Arabidopsis thaliana: one gene and its partner. The protein of the gene in region 2 interacts with the protein of the main gene of each other region in a pairwise test. Each region holds a gene or a part of one and is shown on either strand. Other genes may lie near its edges.

The links.
Region 1: the proteins of GMII (region 2) and XYLT come close enough for resonance energy transfer, tested with the Arabidopsis thaliana proteins (one study listed by BioGRID).

The regions. Positions count from the first base shown.
Region 1 is NC_003076.8:22,480,290-22,485,403, reverse strand, and holds XYLT (beta-1,2-xylosyltransferase), read right to left. Parts: upstream 3,280-5,114; 5' UTR 3,019-3,279; coding exon 2,323-3,018; intron 2,087-2,322; coding exon 1,937-2,086; intron 1,746-1,936; coding exon 987-1,745; 3' UTR 773-986; downstream 1-772. Other genes in the region: AT5G55507 (hydroxyproline-rich glycoprotein family protein), read left to right, coding at 1-118; GEX1 (gamete expressed protein 1), read left to right, coding at 4,333-4,811, 4,906-5,114. UniProt on the Arabidopsis thaliana protein: Glycosyltransferase involved in the xylosylation of N-glycans. Possesses beta-1,2-xylosyltransferase activity, transferring xylose from UDP-xylose to the core beta-linked mannose of N-glycans. Involved in the biosynthesis of glycoprotein bound N-glycans.
Region 2 is NC_003076.8:4,836,520-4,844,049, forward strand, and holds GMII (golgi alpha-mannosidase II), read right to left. Parts: upstream 5,549-7,530; 5' UTR 5,274-5,548; coding exon 4,698-5,273; intron 4,402-4,697; coding exon 4,252-4,401; intron 4,125-4,251; coding exon 4,092-4,124; intron 3,728-4,091; coding exon 965-3,727; 3' UTR 552-964; downstream 1-551. Other genes in the region: DEL2 (DP-E2F-like 2), read left to right, coding at 7,447-7,517. UniProt on the Arabidopsis thaliana protein: Catalyzes the first committed step in the biosynthesis of complex N-glycans. It controls conversion of high mannose to complex N-glycans; the final hydrolytic step in the N-glycan maturation pathway.

The DNA of each region.
Region 1 (5,114 bases), about 18 Mb from region 2:
TGCGACGTATCCGTATTATTATTATCCTTATTACGTACCGGAAATGTGGTATTCTTCGCCGCCGCAGTTACCGACGCGAGACGGCGTTACCGGCGAGCCACAGTGTCGGATTTTGTGAAGATGATTTGGTTTCAAACGACGTCAGTTTGAAGATTCCGACGTTTTTTTTTTTTTTATACAGCCGCGTTGTAGTATTACAATTGGTATTGATTTGGTTGAAGTGATTTTTGTAGCTTATACCATTTTTTTAAAAAATTATAATTTTCATCATTAATAAAGTTTAATCACATCTCGAGTTTTCAATGATATACTGCGATCGTGTGAGTCGTTGATCCTACTTTAAGTTAAAGAATTTTCAATTATTATATCTTTACTAAGGTAAATCGGTTTGAATTATACATATTAGATATTTAGATTAATGAAATATGAGTAGAAAATGAAATTTCCAATTTGTCTCAAATTAAATTTTACGTCGCTCTTTTTCTTGGCAATAAATGTTTCGTTGAATTTGTTTTTTATAAATCTGATTTATATAAAACTAAATTGAATCAGTACACATATGGGGATGTAGCTCAGATGGTAGAGCGCTCGCTTAGCATGCGAGAGGTACGGGGATCGATACCCCGCATCTCCATTATTTTTATTGTCCTCTTTATTGATTTTTTCTTTCGACAGCTACTATTTTATTTACTAGAAGAAACACGTCAGGGAAAGTCTCTGTTTTGACATATACATTATCACCTTTGTTCATCCACTATGCAAATACCATTTTGGCATTTTCCTTTTAAAAAGGAATTGTAAAATAATAATAGATAAGATAACCATTAGAAATCATGTTTAGTACAAAAAATAAAAGCCAAATTTACATCATTAACCAAATCGAAAAAATGATACAAAAATACAAGGTATCAAAATATGACAAACTCACCGGTCACCGGAGATTAGAACTCACTCACTATCCTAAATTCTTGTTTTTTCTTTTGTCTTTAGCAGCCAAGGCTCTTCATGATCTCCGTTAACTTCTCAATCACAGCCGTTGGTTCCGCTCGTGAGTTCGCCAGATGCATCGCGTGATACTCCAATCCTTTCCACTTAGCTATAAGCTCGAAATGAGGTCTCTGAAACTCGACGCTTATTATCTCAAATATCGTTGTGTTTGGTGTTGCAGAGACAATGTGAGTCAGTCCTGCTCCATGAGCTCCTATGATCACTGAAGCATCTTGAATGGCTCGGACTTGATCTTTCATTGACATGTGTGCAAGCAAGCCATTCACAAGGTTAATCCCGCATTTGGTCAGACCGGTGGACCCAGTTGCAACCCAATGATGCAACGAGTCGAACACTTCTTCCTCATTGATGAGCCGAGACTGGACTTTACCGCCATGACGAGGATGGGCTAAGTAATCTTCACGGCGGACAAAAAGAACATTATAAACTGAGGCTGATGATGATGATGATGATAGCGGCTTTTCTAATGAGCGGTGTCTATTGACAGGCAACCCGAAAGCTGCTCTGATCATTTCACCAAACTCTGATATCCTCGCAGTCCTTTTATCGTCCGGGTTTTGCCACAGATTGTGAGCTGAATCTCCCTTGCAGTCTATTTCTCCGGACAAGCCTTTAAAAAGAGCGGTTTCGTATCCCAATGGTGAAAGAATCGCGTGGCGGAAACAAACCGGTTTGGTGAAGTTCTTTGCGTATCTGATTCCGGAAAACAAAGCTGTCCATGTTTCTTCTAGCTGCGTCTGCAAAAAGATTCACAACATGGATATGAAACTCATACAAGATTCAATTTTATTCATCAAAGGAGGGAAACTAAAACCATAAACACGCAAGAAATCCAAATCCTATAACGAAGAGTAACTAACTACAAGTCTAAACTGGACTTTCCCTGCTCATATAAGGATCATGACCATGAACAAGAAGAGGAGCATACCGTGCAGTGTCCGTCAACGAAAACAACGTGAGGTCGATTAGGCAAACCGGTGACTCTAGACGAAACATAGGCACTATACCAATCTGTCACAGTATGGAAGAGATTTGCGTACTCGAATCTAGTGACAAGCAAGGTCGGTTCCTCCACCCACTGCAGCCAAACAAAAAGCAAACCAAACATCAAACCAACAAGATATAACCACCACACATAACTACATAGTCTTCCAAGAATCTCACACAACCACAACCTAATTAATATGAACAATGTAAAGCTCAAAATCAGTGATTCATTGCTGCATATGTTGAATGAAAAGTCTCCAATTATGCAATCTTTTCACCAAAACACAATCTTCAAATCCACCAGATCAATGAGTAAAATGCACAAACCTCTTCACAAACGAAATCATTGGTATCAACAGCACGAATCGAAGCAACCAAATCTCTCATTGTATGTCTATCAATTCCACCTTCTTGCATATATTCATTCAACATCTCATCATTCACCAGCCGCCGAGAAACCGCACTACCTCCTTCTCCTCCACCAAAACGACGGTGTCTCTTAAAACCTAACCGTGAAGAAACCTCTTCCGCTACCTCAAACGCACCTTGTCGAAACGCAGGAAGCTCCTCCTCCTCTTTCCTCCCCATAACTTCCTCTAACTTCTCACCTCCTCTCGACATAACAATCCGATCCGGAACCATTCTCAGATTCCTTCCTTCACAAATCGAACTCTGTAATGTCTCACTGTAAAAACATCGGAACCAGCTTCCTTCTCCTCCTCCTCCAATCCTCGGCTTAAGGAAGTCAACTCTCTTTGTAAATCCATTCCCGAAGTAACCTTCGCAGGAGCCAGTTGGTAGATTCCTCTGCGGCGGCGTCCATGGGAGGTAAGAAGGTAAGATCGGCCACGGTTTCTGAATCGCCGATTGGTTATTCACTGAAACGTGGTATATATGAGGAGGCTGTGACTGCTCCGGTGAAAACGACGATGAGTGAAAAACGAAGTAGATGATGAGAAAGAGAGAGTTGAGAAGTAACATATACAGAAAAATCTTCAGAATCTTCGGATTCCGTTTACTCATCTCTCTCTCTCGTCTCTCGTTCCCTTGATTTGCGGTTTTGAAGAGAGAGCGAGAATTTGAAACTCTTTCTATTTTTAGTTTTCCATCGATTTCTTCTCTCTCGATTCTGAAGTGAAGTCAATCGCCGGTGAAAGGTACAGAAGATTCAGGCGAGACTTCATCGGCTGTTTCGCCGGAAAATTGTTCTTCAATAAGATGAATCGGAATTTTGAGAGTCTGCAGATTTATTAAAGCTGAAGATTCCATCATTCCTCTCTGTGTATTGTTTGGCATTTTGCTTTTGACTAAAAAATTCTTATACCAATGAACCAAATACAATTAAACCGAACCGAAAATAAATTAATCACATAACCAAAATCAAATTAAACCGGGAAGTAAACCAAACGTTCCCGAAACGTTTCCATCTTTTTGTCAAACACGTTCGTTACTTTATAATTTGCATTTCTCACTTTCCTCATAATCACCGACTCAAAAACAATCTCCAATTCTTCTGTTTTCTGGTAAGCTTTGTGTTTTTTTTTTGTATCACTGTATTCTCATTCTTTAATTTATTGGTTTGAAACTTATGTTAAAGTAAGTGTTTTGTTTAGATTCATCATTCATTCATGCAAATATTTTTTTGAGAAAATTATTCTTTAGAATTGAAATTGTTTTTCGTGTTTATTTTTGGTACTTTAGTTTGTTTTGCCTCTCTGTTATGAAATTGACTGACAAAAACGTAGAGATTCTTCTCTGATTCGAAGTCATATAACTATTTTTAGTTTTTTTTTTGTTCTTATATGTTTTTCTCCCAATATCGATCTTGAAGTTAACCTTGTCGTGTAATTTTCTTGTTCTCTTTTACGATAAAATTTGGATTGTACTTTTTTCTGTGATTTTTTCAGACTATTTTTCGATATTGTTTCTTAGTAATAATGGTTTTTGGTTTATCTTTATTGATACGACTTCAAATGCATGTATTAATCTCAGAAAACGAAAAACAAAGTGGATACAGATTCTTCCTTATTTTAGAAAGATTGTTTTCTGAAGATTTTAATGAGATTTATTTTCTTCTTTTTAAATCTGCAACTTGATTTGCCAATAATCTTTTTTTTTATAAACTTTATGAACTTTATTTATGACGATGATACCAAAAAAAGAAAAAACTTCCATTTATCTAATTGGAAGTTCAAGGGGCTTCCTTTTCTTGCGCTCCAAGTTTTCTGTTATATAAACAACAACATTCTCAGAATGTAATGTTCTGTCTCTTTTGTTTGTTCGTAGGTGATCAATCACAAGGCTCCTCGAGAAGAAGAAGATCTCAAATCCGATTAAATGGATCGTTTCAGCAGAAAATGTCTTCTGTTTCTTCTATTGATCATACTTTTAGATTCTCCATTAACATGCCACAGTTGGGGATGGTTCTCTTCTTCTTCTTCCTCAGCAGAAGATCCATACTCTTCTTCTTTTTCTCGGTCTCGCAAATCCAACCCCGACTTCTCCATGGAAGTTTTCAGTGATCAGAAGGCGGTTCAAGTCCTTGAAAACAAGCTTGTTGGTCTAACCAGTTGCTGGCAAAATGCTTATAGTTACCTCTTGGCTGGCTGCAAAGAAACGATTGCTACAGAAGAAAAGAGAAAGAGATTTGCTTGGTATTTGAGCGATTGCTTCATCAAAGACTCGGGAAGACCGGCGTTTCCAACCTGTAAAGATGAATCAGTAATGATGAGTTGCCTCAAGAAGCTTGATGATCATGAGCATAAGATCTATCTCGATTTCTTGCTTGAAACCAACACCATCTGCCAACAATTACAGTAAGAAAAACAATTTACCATGAATATTTTTCTAGCTGTTATTACTTTTGTTTGCCAAAATGGATTCTCAATTTGCTTCTTTTTGGTATGGCAGGAGTAATGCGTTCAAAAATGAGATAGAGAGGCTTGTGAATGAGCTCAAGAATACAGCTCAGTATACAGAAGATAAATTGGATATCTTGGAGAGTAAATCTGATGCTTTAATACAGACCTCAAGCATGATTCATGATTCTTTAGGGTCACTAGATGTTCGGGTTCAAAACGTGGCTAGTGTGACAAACACCTTAGAAACTAGTGTGAGTG
Region 2 (7,530 bases):
TCATATGAATCTAGGTGTCTTTTATTTACTCGTAACTCACTCACTTAAATTATTTAATCAAAATTAACTTTGGTACGCCGACAACACAACACTAGTTCCAAAGATAGTAGACTACTAGCTTTGGTCCGTATTTTTGTGTTTCTGCAACAAAAATATAAGCACTAACGTAATTACAAAAGATCAATTTTCTTTTGGCAACAGTTACATATGACCCTATGTTATGAGAAATGACAAAGTATGTGTCTAGATTTTCGAGTTATAAAGGTTATTAAAAAATTAGTGGTAGAACAACGTTACATGAGAGTAAAGGTTATAATTTGCCATACCACCATGACTATTAGTTATACCTTTTCTCCTTTTTGGTTTCTTTCATAAAAAGAAAGATACAATATTTTTGGTGTCACTAGAGACTAATCCCCTCGTAGCTTACCTACATCAATTAACATTCGAGGATCCACTATCCAGTATCCACCACAGTTCGTTTCATGCACGATCCAATCATATAACAAATTCTGGTCACAAGTAACCTCTTAGGCTTTTTCTTTCTTCTTTTGCATTGCAAAAACGTACTTAAAAGATGAAAAATTTCCACAAGCTTCATAGATAAATTTGAAGTTAGAGAATAAGGAGTTAGGACCATATCTTTTGCACTCCAATTCAATCGAATGTGTATAACATATAGTTTATATACACACAACATAATAATCCCAGGCAAAATGGTAAAACTAATTAATATAACTTGTCTCAAAAAGAACCGGCCAAAAAAAACTAATGCCTTACAGTAGTTTTACATGGACACAGAGATGCTCCAGCTTCTACTCTCTCTTTTTGACAGTTCATGTTCCCGGCACAGCTTTTGTGAACAAGAAGAAGCCGATTCTGAGCCCAACCTCTTATAGTCAACGATCGTTTGAGGCCATACCAGCCAATAAATAGTCAACGTTCAGTCTTAAGTGTGTGTATTTCACTTGTGAGGTCGCAGTTCAAGCTTATAAGCTCGTATTTCCATGGGAGAGATCGAGACACGTCCTTCCCGTGGCTGTGAACTATCTCGAGGTAGCTCTTGGTCATCGTACCCAAGAATCTCCATATCTTCTTGCAAGAGATTCAGTGAAGTTGGTTTTACCTTTGAAGCTGCAAGATCTTTGAACATGTCGGAAAAGTTTACTGGTTCATTAGCCATGCTTGTGCAGTTTACTTGTCTTCCTTTATGGCAATAAGCTGAATCCCAAGCTCGTCTATTGAGGATAAGAGCGAACCTTGGCTTGTCTTCTTCCAATTGCTGAGAGTATTTGGATGGACGAGGAACCTTGAAATTTACAATGTGGAGGTCACATGGTAACGGTTTGGCTAAAGGAGCAAAGGAACCGTATTGTGGAACACGCACAGATATGTCTTGCGGTTTCTTGGCAATGAATGTGTTTATGGGGTAGTTTAAGTGAGCACCTATGAGGTGAGAGAGAAGCGAAGGGTTCCTCGGGTTAGTGTTGGAAGCAGGGTCTGCTTGAGAAATGTTAGATTCCGCAAGAAGGTGAAATACCACGGTCATTGCGCGGTTATCCATCACACCTTGCCCTAGACCCCGTCCGTCATCACGAACCAACCGTCTGTCCAGCATAATCTCCAACCAACCCTCTTTGAGGCTTGCAACACCGAGAGATTGACGAGAGTGCACGGAGAATCTCTGACCATTGGATCCTTGGATAAATGCGAGAGATGGCATTGGGTAGTAGTTTCCTTGAAGAGGGATCTTATCATAAGTTTCTCTCCTGCTCATTTGGAAACCATTGAGATCTGAATAGAAGACCTTCTTGTTGTCAACATCAGTCTTGTACCGGACAATCAATTCCCGGTCATCAAAATCATTACCAAGAAGCTCAACATGATATTCTATCTCGACCACTTGATCCTGAAGCGTATTACCTCCAGTGTAAAGACGAGTTTTCTGAGAGAGGGGTGATTTCTCCCATTTGGTTTTAGGGTAAGAGAAGACTTCTTGAACCAGCAGACCCTCAGAGGTGACTACATGTCCATCAGGTTGAACAATTGGCTGAGCTTCACCATCTGGTTTGAACAGGTAAGCTCCACTCTCTGGACTAGAGTACATACCTATCTCTTCTCCCACAACAGTCTCTGATCCGTTTCTATGGACTATCTTCCGCAGTGATCCGTTCTTCACATCAAACACAAGAGTCTGATGTTCATTTCGGATCTCAGTAACGTCGTTGTCCAGTTTGGAGCAGGAATATGGAGGAGGACAAGGAAATGGGTCAAACTCAGAAGCGTATTTGAGTTTAGACGGAGTAGCTTTCTCACACTCGACATTCCCATTAGCAATGAAATATGTTCTCAGACCAAGAGCTGGGATGGAAGCTTTCCAGTAAAGGCGATGTCTGCCGGTGAATAGTTTGGTATCGTCATGCTGCACTTCAGGAGAAATTTGGCTAGGGACACAAGTCCAGTTTGAGTCCAAAACCGAGATTTCAGCGCGGTTAACAACAACCGTCACCACCTCCTCTCTCGTCTGTTCTGATGGATTGAAGAGTATAACTGTGTGCGAATTTCCTTCCCGGGCAGCAATTGGCTTGTGAACTGGCCGAGCATCATACTTTGATCTCATTTGCTCTGCCTCGAAAAATGATGGGGATTGATCAGATTTTTCTTTCTCGTGGCGGATCCCAAGAAGAACTTCGATTGCTTTAGACATAAAGATCTGAAGGTCTTGCAATGAAGTATGCATCCGGGTGCCGTAATCTTGTACCACATAATCCTTAGCAGTTCCAGTTACCCCATCATGGTGCTGGAAAAGAGCCAGATTTCTTCTTGCAGCAGTCAACTTATACGTAAAACTTGTTGGAAATTTCTCACATTGAATTCGATGGCAATAACCTAGCAGAAATGACATCATGATCTCAGCTCCACGAAGGGTATGCTCGAGCACACGATCAACAGCTTTGAAGAAAGGTCTTGAAACATAATAACCACTCCAATAGTCTTGTTGCCTATCTGCATATGTAAAGAAGTCACCTGACAGAGAAGGGAAACCAACAACCTGACCAGAGCCAACCTCACCAGGACGAGAATAATTCACTCTGTCTGCTTCTTCTCGGACTGTTCTGAAATAATCCTCCAAAGTACCAAACTTTGCTTCTGCGTTTAGACTAGGATTAGAGTTGATGTGATCAAACAACATCTGGTAGTTACGGAACTGAGCCTCGGCTTCATCGATACTAATGTACCTAAAATCATCTCCAAGAGGTATAAGAAGTGTATTAGTTCGATATAGAGTGGATTTTTTCCTGTATTGATCCAGAAGCTTTAATGCCCTCTCCTGCACATTTTCTAGTGTGGTCTCCACTGGGTGCTTTCCCCATGGACAAAGTTCATACTTAAATCCCCGCATCCGAGCGAAATCAAACTGACAGCAAATTGCAGGCTCTGGTCCACAAGTGTGTGGGATATCGTATGAATAAAACGGCATCATATGAACAAAGATATCTGTGGTTTCCATAGCATCCCAGCTCTGACGCCAAATATATTCAAGATTCTTATGCTGGGCAAGGTCTTTCTTGAGCTCGTAATGAGTCCTTTGAATAAGCATGTTTTCAAAACCCATACGCCGGAGAAGATAAGCCATGGTTGATGAATAGCCAAAGGGATCTATAGCCCAAGAATTCTTAGGAATAACCCCAATTGTGTCATTCAGCCACATATTACCCTCTGCTATCTGCAGAAGAAGTGATCCAGTACAAAATCAGTATAAAAAGGAAAGAAACACAATGCAACAAGGGGCTAGTTAACTAGCATTATGACTAGCCAAATGACATTCTAACATCACACGTTCTATGCATAACCAAAAAAAGAGAGGTTTCACTTTTCAGATCAAAAGAGGTCTCAGGGGATGTCGAACTATAACCAACCATAAGTGACATAATAAATAGAAACCTAGCAGAAACAGAAACATTAAATGAAAATGCAGTAATCATCGTCATCATCTTTGTTTCAGTAAGAATTAAAATTCCTAAAAGCAAACAGGAGTAGACAAATAAAGTGCCTAGAAAAACTGGAAAGTCAAGCGTTGATGTACATACCTGTTCAATTATGGCAAAATAATGTGAATTAGCCTGCAGGGAACATTAAGAAGAAAACTTTAGCACATACAATCTCAATCAAAACAATCAGCAGAAGAATGGCATGGGACTAAAAAAACAATTTATTTATTTACAACCAAACAACAAGTAAGAAACATACCTCATCATTCATAACCCAGCCACCTCCAACAATCTCTAGCTGCCCATCCTTAACCAATTTAGTCAAAGCTTCTTGTTTATTAGGTGAAGCGTCTCTCCACCATCTCTCCAGATATGACATCTCCTCCCATATAAACTTTCTTCTTGAATCCTATTAAACATATTCAAAACAAACCCCCACACAAATAAGATTCTAGCTATCCTTCAATCTCAAAACCCAGTAATAAAAAAACAAACTTTAGCTCCAAAGACTTCAAATTTTCCAAAAGAACGAACTTCTAGAACTCTGTTTCATCACGAAACTAAAAAAAAACAGAACCCAGCAAAGAAGTTTGGTTATAGAGTTTAATGACGTCATGAGAATTTTAAGACATTTAAGATTGTTCACGGGATAACCATGGGAGAGAATTAAAATATTAAAACCAAAAGCAAAAACTTTCGTCATACCTTAGATAAAGTCTCAACAATGGTGTCAAGAATATGTCTGGATTGTCTCTGATAATACTCCTCTACAGTCAATTTCCAACCAGGATCGTTATGAGAATGAGGAACAACGAAGATTTTGAGCTTCTCTTTCTCCCACTCATCGTCTTTATACGTAACTCTCCAACCTTGTTTCCATGGACCACCATCTGTATCAAGAAACTCAATCCTATCGTATAGATCTTTAGTTGTGATATCAACGACGGCGCCTGAATTGGAATCGTTTAAGGGTCGGCGATTAATATTCTTCCGTGGCTTGACGATCCGATTGGATCTGGAGGTAAGGAATCGTGAGGAGATCGGTCCTGGTACGCCGAAGTGGAAGAGAGTGAGGAGGAAGAAGAGGAGTGAGACGGTGAGTGCGATGACGAAGAAGTTGGCGAAGATGAAATTGACTACGAGAGTTCGTTTTCGTGGTTTTCGATTGATCGCTAGTTTTGACTTTGATAACGCTGTTGGAAGAAGAGATTGGCCCCAACCGCCGGTTCCTCCGCCGGTGGAGCTACGGCGGCTGTTGCCGATATACGAGGAGAACGGCATATTCTCCTCCTCGGAATTTCCTTTTTCTTTTCTATCTAACGAATTAAACCTACGTCGTTTCGAGTTGTCTTCTTTTTTCTTTCTTACTTGTGTTCTGCTCTGAGATTTATGTAAGCGGATGATGGTCTTTTAGATTCGATGGACTTTTCTTCCGAATCCTGTTTGGTTTTTTGTTTTTTTAAGGGAAAGTAAATGCCAGTGGGTGTTATGGTCTTTTCGACATACGCTACTTTTTTTTAAGGCCCAAGTTGGTGAGTAACTTTTTTTGGGGTCGGTTACTGTTGTGGAGTAAGTCTAGTATCTTTACTGGTTTAGATTATTATTAGATAACCCTAAGGTCAGTTTTATAATTATAATTATTATTATATTTAAGAGTTTAATATTTGTATGGTATCATTAGAAAATAGGAAAATTATTAATCATCAAATCTTTGAAAGACTAATGATAAAATTTATTATCTTATAGTATAACTAAATTTTGACTTTTTGTTTCAAAATATTTATAAATGCAGATTTCTACGTTAAAGGTCTAAAAAAACAATTTCTGCAAAAGTCCTAGCTAGATGATCACGTTTTACATACAACTAAAACATCATTAGAACATGTGTATTGCATTGTAGGTCGGTATTGCACGGTATTATTTTATTAGTTTAGTTATGAGAAAACACTTACAATAAAGTTTGTAATTTTGTGATAAATGTAAACTAAAGTATCACTTTTCTATGTTTAGTCAGGAAATTGTTTTGCAAAAATACTCTCCAATATCATGCAAAACATAAGTGATTTCTAAAGCTATATTTTCCTAACAATATTCTCCATGCCGTTGTCTCTTGTCTCATTTGTTCCTTTCATTTGATCGGATCTCAACTACAAGAACATATTAAACTAACTTCCAACACACTGATCGAAAGAGTTTTTGACATTTTTGTTACGTTTTGACGGAATACTACAGTTTTCCACATGTGGATCGCTTGCATAAGACAAAGTTTTGATGGCTTTCACTCGTTCAAAACTATGTGAGACTGAATTATCAGCCAAAAAATCATCAACGTTTACACAAACATAAAATTTAGCATGAGGAACGGGTTTTCCATGTTTCGACAACATGACTTATTGAAAGATAATAGGCAAAATGTTTCCACCATAAAGGGTGGTGCAAGAAAACTTATATTGCTCTTACGGTGAAACCCTAGAACGGCTCAATAAAAGATCTTACCATTTTAACTATTTGAGTTTCTCTTTCGAGGAATAAGAGCCAAATATCCTATCTAAACTTCGGGAACACGATATATTATTTAGAAAGATAAAGCATTTACATAAAACGGTTAAATTTTATACGAAAGTCCTACATGTACACTAATAAAGGGTTGAAAGTCTAAACATTTTTAATGCATATTAACCATTGAAGTTTAAACCGCTGATCAATAACGATGAATTTGATACGTCATGTTAATGAGAAACTTTTCCGCTTCATTGCTTTACTTGCTAAAATCTTTATTCTGAGGAAATATATCAATCTCGTGTTCATATGAATAAATGTGTGACTCATATCATAAAATCCTTTTTAAGTATAAATAAAAAGCGCGTTCTATAGACACACGTAATATTTTTTTTTGAACAATGAATGATGGAAATATCAAATAAGTAACAAAAAGCTCAAGGTATAAAGACACATAAGTTTTTTTTCCAAAAAACTAATGATAGAAATAAGTAACAAAAACGTGAGCTACAGAGACACGTTATATTTTTTTTTGAAAAACTAATGATAGAAAGTATTATCAACATGTAAAAAGAAACCTTATCGAATGGATATCATAAAAAGGACAATAACAACCAAATCTTTTTGCTATAAAATTATGATTACATGATTATTAACATGTTTAAAACCTCTAATTACATAAATATATACACTAAATATTTACAAATTAATTTAAAAGTAATACCTATTAAAGAAAAGTAAAAAATCAAAAAGCAAAGTGTAAAATTAGACAATAACATTTAACCCCGGGAAAACAAGTGATAGTATTTCCTAATTTGAAAAGACCCCGCCTATAATTATAAAAGGTTTCCGAGGTCACAACAAAGCTCAGATCCAAACACAAGTCTTGTCTCTCTTTCTCTCGCAGGTCACCGAGAAAATATCTTTTGTTGTCTCCACCCACCCCACCCAGGTTATGGATTCTCTCGCTCTCGCTCCCCAGGTTTACAGCCGCAAGGACAAATCTCTCGGCGTTCTTGTCGCCAAGTATCTCTCTCTC